2 linked regions of the Macaca fascicularis genome follow. The protein of the gene in region 1 interacts with the protein of each later gene in a pairwise test. Links are inferred from orthologs where the notes say so. Each region holds a gene or a part of one and is shown in the gene's direction. Other genes may lie near its edges. The genes, in order: CSTPP1 and RAB29.

Region 1 (5,942 bases):
GCCTGGAGGGCAGAGGTTGCAGTGAGCCAAGATGGGGCCACTGCACTCCAGACTGGGTGACAGTGCGAGACAATGTCTGGGGAAAAAACAATGTAGATAAATATTATGTTAATTTTTTAAGATGGGGTCTCACCATATTGCCCAGGCTGGACTCAAACTGCTGGGCTAAAGCGATCTTCCATCTTCAGCCTCTGAGTAGAACTACAGGCATGTACTGCCATGTCTGGCTGATTACATTAAATTTTAATACTGAAAGATTATAGATTTTGTCTATAGCTTCCAAACTAATAGGGAGGATAGAAAAGAATTAAAACAAAACAAAACTTTACTAACACAATAGAAGGTAGGAAAAGAGGGTGGGGAAAGGCAAAGAGGAATGGATAATGGGAAAGACAAAATAAGATATCAGGTCAGAAATTAATCAGATACACTAAAAAGCTACTCATTAACATATAGTGACTGTAAGGTTGGGTAGAGAAGCAAAATCTAGCCACATGCTATTTACAAGAGATATACCCAAACAAAATGACCTAGAAGGGGGTTATTAAAGACACAGAAACAGATATACCAGGAAAATACCAATCAAAATAAAGCTGGTATTGCAATATTATAATAAAAATATCAGACCCAAAGCCTGGAATTTAGAAAAATTAATAAGATATAGACTTTCAATATTTCCTGTGTGGCTAGCTTCAAAGATACATTCTACCTGGCATCACTTACCTGTCTTTCTTATCTTTCTAAATCAATTTCCACAAATATTTATGAGTAATTATGAGTTAGGTAATATAGTAGAGACAAAGATGAGTACAATCTGTGTTTACTCCATAGAACTGACAGTCTAATAGGGGAAAGTCCAGTAACTTTAAAACAAAGTAGCAAATTGTGAGCACTGTTAGAGAATTTTAAGCGAGATACAATGGAAATTGGGCATGGGAGATAAAATCAGGAAAAGACTTTACACAAAATTTGGCATTTGAGATAGTCTTTAAAGCTATAACAAAGCTACAATTTCATTAGACCATGACCTAGACATCAACTTTTCTCTCTTAGAATATGAAGCATGCTTTGGGACTACTTTGCTGGATAGCTTCATGAATTTAGGCTACAGTATTATCATTTCAGACTTCATTTGCTGGAAATGTAGCCTACTGCATTTACCTATAACAGCTCATTTCCTGTATTTTTTATTTTCCTTTGCTTAAGACAATAGCACTGCATGGTTAGGTTAACACTTTCGTTGCTTTTGAAAGCCCCTCTACTAACCTAATCTTTTGCCAGATGATGTCCTCATACTTCCTCAGGGTGTCTTAGAAGTAGATTTCTATGCTAGCTGTCCATTAAAGAAGAAGAGTATATAGTTTGCTTTTTCATAAAGTGCTGTTACTATTAACAGGAAGGAACTAACTTTATCCTAAATGAAAACATACTCTAAAGACAAGTTAGACTCTTTCCCATGAAGTTGGTCTGAGAGAAGGGAAACGGAATAGATGGCTCCTGAAATTTTTTCTTGTTCCATTCAGAGTCAGATTTTTTCCCCCGCTTTATATGGTCAACAAATGAAAATTGGCATTTGGAATTACCACCGTTCCCCCCATTGCTTGCCATCTTCAAATTTAATGTCTGCTTCTCCACAAAGATTAACATGTTTTCCGCTCATGATTTACTTGTCAGAGAATTTAGAAGTTTTCTGGAACCTGAAGTTTGCTCTGGTAGGGATGATTACTGGATAATTGCCTATTCTTCGGTGGAATTTCCATTTTTAGATTACACCAGGCTCTACAGCCTTTATTTCTTTGGCAGGAAAACCCAAAGTCAATGGAGTATATTTTTTCCCTTCCCTGGCCCAGCTTAAACAATGACTCACTTGGGCCCTGGGGCTTTGCTTCATACTCTCATTTAGGGGCCACTTTATACCCTTGTTTCTATTTTCCTTTCTTGTTCTGTTTGGACCCTTTATATCCTTTGGCACATGGGATTTGTCTCTGGGGTTATTGTCAGAGAGATATATAAAACCACCCCAAACTGGAACAGACACTCCAGTTATGTCCCCATAAGCCATGTTATCCTTATGGCAGCTGGTATAGGCCAGGGAGAGTACAGAAAGAATTTTTTTTTTTTTTTTTTTTTTTTGAGAATGAGTCTCACTCTATTGACCAGGCTGGAGTGCAGTGGCATGATCTCAGCTCACTGCAACCTCCACCTCCCAGGTTCAAGTGATTCTCCTGCCTCAGCCTCCCGAGTAGCTGGAATGACAGGCGCACACCACCATGCCCGGCTAATTTTTGTATTTTTAGTAGAGACAGGGCTTCACCCTGTTGGCCAGGCTGGTCTCCAACTCCTGACTTCAAGTAATCCACCCACCTTGGCCTCCCAAAGTGCTGGGATTACAGGCATGAGCCACTGCGCCCAGCCCAGAAAGAATATCTTTAAGGAAACCTAATTCCAAATGGAGTGGAGGGAAAAGTATTCTCCAAAAAGGAAAATATGAGTGCCAGTGTCATCCAGTTAGAGACTAAAAGGCTTTCCTCCATATGCGATGCTCTAATGACTGATTTAGATGTCCTCTGTGTGTACCTGTGGAAGGTGGGAAGCACTCAGAGGAACTGGCCTCCAAGAGTTTTCGGAGAGATATGGTTATATGAAGAGACTTCCCCATAGAAGGGCTAGGTCTAATCTAGACTTCAGAGTTTTGTTGGGGAGAAAAATTCCCTCTTTTTGGCAGTGCTTCTCTCTGGTCTCAATTTTTCATTCTGATTCCAGCCTTCTGGATTCCATCTAACAATGATTTCTTGATTTTTCTCTTTGCAGTTTTAACAGTGTATGCCAGGGAACACACATTCTCTTTCGAGAATTCAGCTTCGTCCAAGCCACCCCCCACAATAGGGTATCATTTTTACGAGCCTTCTGGAGATGCTTCCGAACTGTGGGCAAAAATGGCGGTAAGTCTTCCCGAATCCTTCCTTCCTTCCTTCCTTCCTTCCTTCCCTCCTACCTTCCTTCCCTCTTTCTTTTTCTTTCTTTCTTTCTTTCTTTCTTTCTTTCTTTCTTTCTTTCTTTCTTTCTTTCTTTCTTTCTTTCTTTCTTTCTTTCTTCCTTTCTTCCTTTCTTCCTTTCTTCCTTTCTCTTTCTTTCTTTCTTTCTTTCTCTTTCTTTCTTTCTTCCTTCCTTTCTTCCTTTCTTCCTTTCTCTTTCTTTCTTTCTTTCTCTCTCTCTTTCAAACTTTTTCTTTTGTTCCTATAAATATTGTTTGAATGCATGCTATTCAAGGTATTTAGAATACCTCACTTTTGAGGAGTTGTCTGGTTTATGTCAAAGATATTACTATTACCACTACCATCACTAATGATACCTATTAAGAGCCAAGTGTAGCTCTTTACGTGTAGTAACTCGTTTATCTTTACAAGGGCTCTCTGTGGTAGATACTATAATCCCCATTTTGTAACTAACGAAACTGAGGATCAGAGAGGTTAAGTAACTTGGCAAGGTTACATAGTAAATTCTGGGCCCAGATTTATACCCAGGCAGTCTGACTCCACAGCCCTTGCTCTTGGCAGATATTAAAATGCCATGCAGTAAATACAAGGAATAATGTGAATACAAAGAAAGAAACTCCTGAATGGGGGTGGGATGGGGATACTGTTGTTAGAGGAGGGAGAGAAAAGTGGAGCAGAGAAGGTCCTCCTTAGAACTGGCTGTTTGATCTAAGCTGGGAAGGAAGAGTTGGAATCATTCACATGGATAAAGGAGAGAAGGGCATCCTAGGTAGAACATATGCTGAAGCACAAAAGAACCTGGAATACTTATGTAACAGGTCAGAATGTCTAGGGTCTGTGTGAAGTTTGTGAAGGAGGTTAGGGGAGATGAGACTGTGAAGGAATAACGGAGCTGCTGAAAGATCATTTTTTAGCCATATAAAAGAAATTGGGCCAGGCACAGTGGCTCAGCCTATAATCCCAGCACTTTTGGATGCCAAGGCAGGTGGATCACTTAAGGTCAGGAGTTTGAAACCAACATGGTGAAACCCCGTCTCTACTAAAAATACAAAAATTAGCCAGGTGTGGTGGCACACTCCTATAATCTCAGCTATTCAGAAGGCTGAGAAACAAAAATCGTTTGAACCCTGGGGGACAGAGGTTGCTGTGAGCCGAGATTGTGCCACTGCAATCCAGCCTGGGCGACAGAGCAAGACTCTGCCTCAAAAAAAAAAAAAAAAAGAAAAGAAAAGAAAAGAAAAGAAATTGGGGCTGGATGTGGTGGCTCACACCTGTAATCCCAGCATTTTGGGAGACCAAGGTAGGAGGATCACTTGAGCCCAGAAGTTTGAGACCAACCTGGGCAACATACTGAGACTTTGTCTCTATAAAAAAATAAACAAAATTAGCCAGGTGTGGTGGCACATACCTGTAGTCACAGCTACTTGGGAGGCTGAGGTAGGAGGATCACTTGAGCCGGGGGAGGTTGAGGCTACAGTGAGCCATGATTATGCCACTGACTCTAGCCTAGGTGACAGAGCGAGATTCTGCCTCAAAACAAACAAACAAACAAAAAAGTTAAATTTTATTCTCTGGGTGTTATTTGAAGGCTTTTTTTGGTTTTGGGTTTTTTTTTTTTTAAGTCCCAGTTGCAACCAGGTGCGGTGGCTCACGCCTATAATCCCATCTCTTTGGGAGGCCATGGTGGGCGGATCACAAGGTCAGGAAATCGAGACCATCCTGGCTAACACGGTGAAACCCCATCTCTACTAAAAAATACAAAAAAATTAGCCGGGTGTGGTGGCAGGTGCCTGTAGTCCCAGCTACCCAGGAGGCTGCGGCAGGAGAATGGCGTGAACCCGGGAGGTGGAGCTTGCAGTGAGCCGAGATCACACTACTACACTCCAGCCTGGGCGACAGAGCAAGACTCTGTCTCAAAAAAAAAAAGACCCCGTTGCCCAGGCTAGAGAGCAGTGGCTTGATCATAGTTCACTATAACCTTGAGCTTCCATGCTCAGGTGATCTTCCTAACTCAGCCTCCTAGCTAGCTAGGACTACAGGTCCATGCCCACCGTACCTAGCTAATTTTAAATGTTTTTGTAGAGACAGGGTTTTGCTATGTTGCCCAGGCTGGTCTCAAACTCCTGAACTCAAGGCCTCAGCCTTCCAAAGCACTGGGTTTACAGACGTGAGCCACCATGCCCCATCTTATTTGAAGGCTTTTAGATAGGAGAGTGGTGTGGTAATATCTGAGCTCTAGAAAGATCATTCAAAAGGCAGTGTAGAAGATGGTCTAGACTGGAGGCAAGGAACATAGAAGTCTGGTAGTAGTTGAGTGAGAGATTAGAGCCAACACTAAGGCAGTATGGAGATGGAAGGGGCGCTTTTAGAGATAGAATCCATAGGATTTGGTGATTGGATTTGGCATTAAGATGAGAGAGAAGACCAGTGGTAATTTCCAAGTTTTTGGCTTGGGCCACTGCCTAAGAATATTAGAATATTTTTTTAAAGCCTTCAAGTAATAGCCACAGAATAAATTTCAACTTTTTTTTTTATTTTTATTTTTGACAGGGTCTTACTCTGTCACTCAGGCTGGAATACAATGGCACAGTCTCAGCTCACTGCAGCCTCGACCTTCAAAGCTCAGGTGATCCTCCCACCTCAAGTAGCTGGGAATATATTTGTGCACTATCATGTGTGGCTAATTTTTGTGTTTTTTATAGAGTTAGGGTTTCACCATGTTACCTAGTCTGGTCTCGAACTCCTGGGCTCAAGCCACTTGTCCACCTCAGCCTCCCAAAGTGCTGGGGTTATAGGCATGCGCTACCATGCCTGGTCTCCTACTTTCACATTATGTGTTTTTATAAATACCTTTAAGGCAGTTGCTTGCTTGCTTGCTTGCTTGCTTTTCTTTACTTTTCTTTCTTTCCCTCCCTCCCTCCCTCCCTCCCTTCCTTCCTCCCTCCT
Region 2 (6,515 bases), on another chromosome or scaffold:
TATGAACACTAAAATTTTAGAACTTACAGTGACCTTTATGACAATCTACTCCCACGTAGTGAATAATATAGTTTCTCTTCCTTTTGATTTTCTTAATAATATTTAAGTAAGATTTAGCTATTTTATTTTATTTTATTTTATTTTTAGTAGAGATGGAGTTTCACCATGTTGGCCAGGTTGGTCTTGAACTCCTGACTTCAAGTGATCTCCCTGCCTTAGCCTCCCAAAGTGCTGGGATTACAGGCATGAGCCACAGGGCCCAGCCGAAAGGTATATTAGAAGATATTTAAGTAAGATTTAGAAACCTGAAGAGTATTCTGAAAGTGATGCATCCTGGACAAAAATAGAAAACCAAAAATGACTTTGGGCTTTAAAAGAGCATAAGGAACCTCACTTTGTTGGAGAGAGGAAACTCCCATTTGAGGTAGGGTGAGATAAAATTGGTTAGGTAGGCTGGAGCAGGTGCATAGAAAGCTTTGGACACCAGCTTCAGGGAGGTTGGCCTTTTTGTTGAAAGATAGTTGGTAGATAAGGAAGAACAAACAATGGTGTTTTAGGAAAACCATCCTGTCCAGTTGTAGAGGGTGACTTAAAAAGAAAATAAACTCAGGGAAACCAATGAACAGGTTACTGCAATAATGCGGGTGTGAGATGGTGAAAGCCTGAACTAGGAAAGTGTTATTTGTTGATTACCTGGGTGACAAAATTATCTGTATGCCAACTCGCGCAACATGCAGCTTACTCGTGTAACAAACCTGCACATGTACCCCTTGAACCTAAAATAAAAGTTAGAGAAAAAAAAAAAAAAAGAAAGTGTTACTGGATATGAAGCAGAGAGGATGAGTGGGAGAAACCACTTACTGAAGAAAAAATCAATCAGACATGGTAACTGACTTTTTTTTAAAGGGTACAGGCCAGGTGCTGTGGCTCATGCCTGTAATCCCAGCACTTTGGGAGACTGAGGCGGGCAGATCACTTGAGGTCAGGAGTTCAAGACTAGCCTGGCCAACATGATAAAACCCTGTCTCTACAAGAAATACAAAAATTAGCCAGGCTTGGTGGTACGTACCTGTAGTCCCAGCTATGCAGGAGGCTGAGGCACAAGAATCACTTGAGCCCAGGAAGCAGAGGTTGCAGTGAGCCAAGATAATGCCACTGCACTCCAGACTGGGCAACAGAGTGAGACTCCATCTCAGATAAATAAATAGGCATAAAGGGACATGTGTAAAGGAAATAATAATTCTCAGAATCTGAAGTCTACATGGAGGGAAGAAATAATGAGACCAGTGACAGAAATAGGGAAGCTGAGAAAAGGAGCTATTTTTGTGGCAATGTAGTAAGAGGAAGGATGTGGCAGGACATCCAAGTGGAGGCACCTTTTGGGCAGCTGAGTATCACTGATCAGAGATAAAGAACAATAAAGTGAAGACAGATCTTTGACACCAAGGACAATTCATTGAAGAGTTTATAGAATCATTGACTCAAAGACCAAGAATAGAGCTTCAGGAAATACTTAGAGGGAAATGGGATGGCGAGAAACCTGAAAGAAAAGGATAATCATCGGAGAAGTAGGGGGATGACAAAGAAAGAGCAGTGTCATAGAAGGCATAAGGGAAACAAATGTCAAGGAGTGGTCAAATATGTCAAAACGAATAGGAACAGAGAAAATTGGATCCTTAAAGATGAGTAGCCTGGCCTAACCTCCTGTACCTGAGTAACAAACATTCTGGGCAAAATATATTGTGAACCACGCTGATGTTCTTTCCCCACAAAACATAAGTGATAGCCTCTCTATCAAGAGACCTAGGTAAGATTTCATAGTGTCTGGTCCTGGGCTGTTTTCCCATGGCCCTGCTGGTTCTCTTCTTCTGTTTCTAGAAAAAGTCTAGAAAATGGAGCTCTCTTTGCTTGCCATTGAGCTCATGTCCTGCCAACTCCTACCTAAGTGACAGGCAGGTCAGTAAAGTTTCAGGCTGAAAAATTAAAATTATTTGCCAAACACTAGTTTTATGATTATCTATTAACAACAGCCACAATGAATCGAGAAGGATTCCCAGTGTATTTCAATTAGCCTCTACCTCAAGTGATACATGAGTAGTATGGTTAGAATAGGCATTGCAGAAGTATGAATGGGGAACTGTCTCTTGTTTTCTGTCTATCTTTATTGTTATTGCTGGATATTAAATGCTGTAACTTTTGGCATATGTTTTTCCAAAGAATGGTCTCTTGGGTCAAGTTTTCCTGAACTTGCCTGGTATTGGGCAAGTTCATACAGAAAATATGAGTCATTTCACAAAGTCCTGGGCTTGTCTATCTATTTGAAGGAATAGGAAATGGACTTCACTTGGAGCATTATGGATGAGGCTTGGACTTTTACTAACGAAATAAGTTTTAATCTTAACTCCGTTAAACCTTTAAAGACAGGAGAAGACTATCTGGGGATGGATTCAGGCCAGTGAGATCACGTTGCACAAATCTCCTCTTAAGTGACCTTAACTGACCCAGAATTGTTTCAGAATAAGATTCCGAACTGTTGAAGGAGTTTTGAAGCCTTGAAACTTTGTGTAGGTTGGCTTAAAACGAAAAAAAGAATACACTACATTTCCCAGGAGGCTTCGCGGGTGAGCCTCCGCACTCGGCTGGTTCTCTTTACCGCGAGGAAAGCTGGGGAATGTAGTGCTCCAGGCAACCCTGCACGTGACGCTGGCGGAGGAAGGCTAGAGAGAGGCGCGGGACGACGTCTAGGGAATAGAAAGGTACCGGCTGCTCCTTCCTGACAATTTGGTATGTGCTGCAAGGGGAGGGTCCTCATCATCTGGCCCCAGTGGTGTAATGAGCTGACTGGGATTCAGTCACTGACTCGGAGCCGCTCCGGGAAAGTCCTGGTGGGGAGGTTCCGAGGCGCCTGGTCCCGTTTCTCGGCAGTCAGGCCAGGAGGGGGTGGGGAAGGTGCGAACAGCCGGGGGCTCGGAGCTTGCGCCCTGCGCCCCACCCAGGTTGCGGCCGCCGGGGGAGGAAGCACGTATAGTTTGAGTGCAAAGTTTCCTTTTTTGCTTTCTCGTCAGAGCAGCCCACACAGGCGGTGGGTGGGAATGCCTCACTTCAGTTTGAAGAGGGTCCGGAGCCAAAGGGGTTAAAACAAGCGACTCCCCCACTTCCCGCCTCCCTAAAACGCACGCCCCGCTAGCCATGGGCAGCCGCGACCACCTGTTCAAAGTTCTGGTGGTGGGGGACGCCGCAGTGGGCAAGACGTCGCTGGTGCAGCGATATTCCCAGGACAGCTTCAGCAAACACTACAAGTCCACGGTGGGAGGTGAGACGTCTTTCGGGGGAGGGGGAGGAGGAGGCCTCGACCGCGGACTCGAGCTGGGGACCCAAGTGGGATCCGGATTTGCTGTCGGTTGTTGGGTCCTTCTTCGGGTCAGGAAGTACTGTCTGGGAACCTAAATGGTGTAATTGCCGGGTGTTTCGTTTACAAGCCTCTCTTGAGTTTCCCCAGTTAGATTTTTCCCAACCTGACCCCACTGCCAGGAGAAAGGTAAGAACAAAGGCTTGAAGATGAGAAATAGGGAAGGGAGGATGAGGATAAGCAATTGCTGTTTATTGCAGGCGCACTGTGAACTCAAGTCTCCAGCCTTTCAGCTGTCTGGCATCTCTCCAATCAGCAGAAGCAGCTGAGATCCTCTGGGGGCCTCCTGGTTAGGTGCCGGCTGGGGCTGTAGTTCTGCACCTCTGTTGAGGAAGGAACCGCAAGGTGTTTAACCTGGCTTCAGTGGGAGAACGCAGGAAGCGGAACTGGTCTGAAGGACTCTAGCTTTGTTGTGGGGCTGTGGGTGGGATGGAAGACACAAAATCCCCAAACGAGCCCCTTGGCTACGCAGTCAGATGCCCATGAGGGCTGATGAGCTGTGTTTTTGTCCGTTGATTGCTTAAATAAAAGTAACCAAGGAATTCTTCGAAGAATGTGAAATATACCACTTCTCTGACCTATCTTCCCACCACTTTTTCCTCAAACTGAAGAAGGTAGGGAGGAAGAGAACACTGAGTTCATTCCTTTCTTTCCCGGGTATGGCCTTTTTACTCAACTATTTTTTCAGAGGTAGAAATGCCTTATTGTTAATTAGAAGGTATTTAGGAAGAGCTGGTGATGGGGGAGAGTAACTTAAAATTTTCTCTCTTAAAAGAACTTGTTTTAAGGGGAGAAAAACGTACCAATGGAAAAAGTGAAAATGTGTGCTCCTGTTCATATGGAAGTTTAAAAAGAAATTAAGCATTCACATTGCAATTAAAACATTCTCCTTAAGAACCCCCAGTAGGGCCCAGTGCAGTGGTTCATACTTGCAATCCCAGCACTTTAGGAGGCTGAGGCAGGAGGATTGCTTGAGCCCAGGAGTTCGAGAGCAGCCATTGGAAACATGGCAAGACCCCACCTCTACAAAAATTAAAGAAAAAAGTAGCCGTGGTTCCAGCTACTCCGGAAACTCAGACTAGAGGATTGCTTGAACTCAGGAGGTCGAAGCTTCAGTAAGCCGCGTTCGCACCACTCACTGCACTGTAGCCTGGGCAACAGAGTGAGACCCTGTCTCAAAAACAAAGGAACAAAACATTAAAGTCTGGCAAAATTAAAGGTTCAAAGTTTCAGACACACTATCCTGACCTCTCTGCCCTTCCACTCCTAAATAATATAAGGGTCCCTATTTCACGGATTTGGGTTAAAATTGGCCTTCTATTAATAGTTAATTTTTAACAATTGCTGTAGTTTTCCTTTAACAAAGAATATAATTGACTCTGGCTAATTTTTTTTTTCAGTGTTTAGTCTAAATTTCCCTTAGTTTTGATTCCTGTTACAGATGTGAAAGATAATATTTCCAAACCTCAGAAATTACTGTGTTTCTCTCCTTAGCCAAAAGCTTTTCCCCATGGAATACTTAGCCTTAAGGAGTCTCAGCATCTGCAGACTTTGTGGTAGATTCCAGCAGGACTCTTCAGCAACATCCACACAGTGTCTTCTTGGGACTCCTCTGGGACCTTTTCCGTTTATTCCATTCTTGCCCAAGATAATACCTGCAACCTTATGGTGGATGTAGAGTTCCCCAGGGTGTGTTGTTTTCATAATACAATTTGATTAGAAACCAGCAGTGAAATTGAATGTGGAAGATACAGAAACAACCACACTTGTCTCATTTCCCCCTTCTCCCCCATCACCCCTTCCCTGAGAAAACCCCCTAAATCTCCCAGAAACTGTTTAACCTGAGAATGAGAGTTGTTTTCATAGTTACTCCCACCCCCAGTCTTGGAGACAAGTAGTAGCAAACAGATGAGCTTGACAGGAGAGTAAAAGCTGGAAACCCCTTTGGAGAGTGAGTATGAACCATCCATCTCACACTTAATACACATGTGTGGACTCATCTCAGTGAATTGAGGGCTTAAAGATAAACATGGGATTCGAGTTGTGTGTCCATCGGGTTGTCACTGCCTATTTGATTTGAGTTTATCCCTATTCATTTTTACAGTGAAATTTTATTAAGGTATAATGTACATATATTTTCAGTGGATTTTGCTCTGAAGGTTCTCCAGTGGTCTGACTCCGAGATAGTGCGACTTCAGCTGTGGGATATTGCAGGTAAAGTGGGAGGGCTGGATAGGAACGAGGGAAGAAATTTTGATTTAACCAGGAAAATCTGAGGAAAAAAAAAATGGGGCAGCAAAGCCAGAAATTTTTTTCCGAAGCTGGAATGATTGAGCTGCTCTGAGGACACACGAGCTGAATAGGTGCAGAGCTTTTGTAGATGTTTTGCCCTGAATAGATCTAGAGCAGTCTCTATGTGGATGGAGGGGCTGGCAAGGTGGTGGATTGTCCAGACTATAGTGCATACTCCCACAGCAGGGGAGGGTCCTTTTTCTAGGTTTAAGGCTGACCTTGGTGAAAAACAAGATCCCCAGAAAATAGATACAGTAAAAATAGTGAATCCTTATTATGTGCCAAGCATTCTTCTAAGCATTTTAAATTCACTGACTCGTTAATCCTCACACCAACCCTATCATAAAAGCTACTGCTTTTGGAGATTCACTTGAACCTAGGAGGCGAAGGTTGCAGTGAGCCTAGATGGCACCATTGCACTCCAGTCTGGGCAACAGGAGTGAAACTCTTTAAAAAAAAAAAAAAAAAAGTTATTGCTTTTATCTTTACTTTAGAAATGAGAAATCTGAAGCACTGAGAGCTTAATTTGCCCGAAGTCAAATAGTATGCAGCAGAGCAGGGATATGGACTGGAGCAATCGGGGTGCGGAATCTGCCTTGGAAATAATCAGGCTTCATTATCCCTTTACGGGATAGATAGAAAACCAAGAGTCAGAGGGGGAAAGTGAGTGACTCCCTCTGCCACATATGCTTACTGCCCCCCTCCACAAGGAATGGGGAGAGGCTGAGGTGTTAGAGAGGATGCGGAGGCTGGCTCTTGGGTCACCTTCTTGAGAACTCTCCCTTTTCTCCCCAGGGCAGGAGCGCTTCACCTC

What was found.
Region 2: the proteins of CSTPP1 (region 1) and RAB29 interact in a two-hybrid assay, tested with the Homo sapiens proteins (2 studies listed by BioGRID and IntAct). The two-hybrid records come from large-scale screens. The link is inferred for Macaca fascicularis from reciprocal best matches to the Homo sapiens genes CSTPP1 and RAB29.

The regions. Positions count from the first base shown.
Region 1 is NC_088388.1:18,801,437-18,807,378, reverse strand, and holds part of CSTPP1 (centriolar satellite-associated tubulin polyglutamylase complex regulator 1), read left to right. Parts: intron 1-1,583; exon of another isoform or gene 1,584-1,647; intron 1,648-2,811; coding exon 2,812-2,942; intron 2,943-5,546; coding exon of another isoform or gene 5,547-5,622; intron 5,623-5,942. UniProt on the Homo sapiens protein: Regulator of the tubulin polyglutamylase complex (TPGC) that controls cytoskeletal organization, nuclear shape, and cilium disassembly by balancing microtubule and actin assembly.
Region 2 is NC_088375.1:63,613,010-63,619,524, reverse strand, and holds the start of RAB29 (ras-related protein Rab-7L1), read left to right. Parts: upstream 1-2,687; 5' UTR 2,688-2,784; intron 2,785-3,065; exon of another isoform or gene 3,066-3,070; 5' UTR 3,071-3,189; coding exon 3,190-3,313; intron 3,314-3,609; exon of another isoform or gene 3,610-3,754; intron 3,755-5,513; exon of another isoform or gene 5,514-5,551; coding exon 5,552-5,623; intron 5,624-6,496; coding exon 6,497-6,515. UniProt on the Homo sapiens protein: The small GTPases Rab are key regulators in vesicle trafficking. Essential for maintaining the integrity of the endosome-trans-Golgi network structure.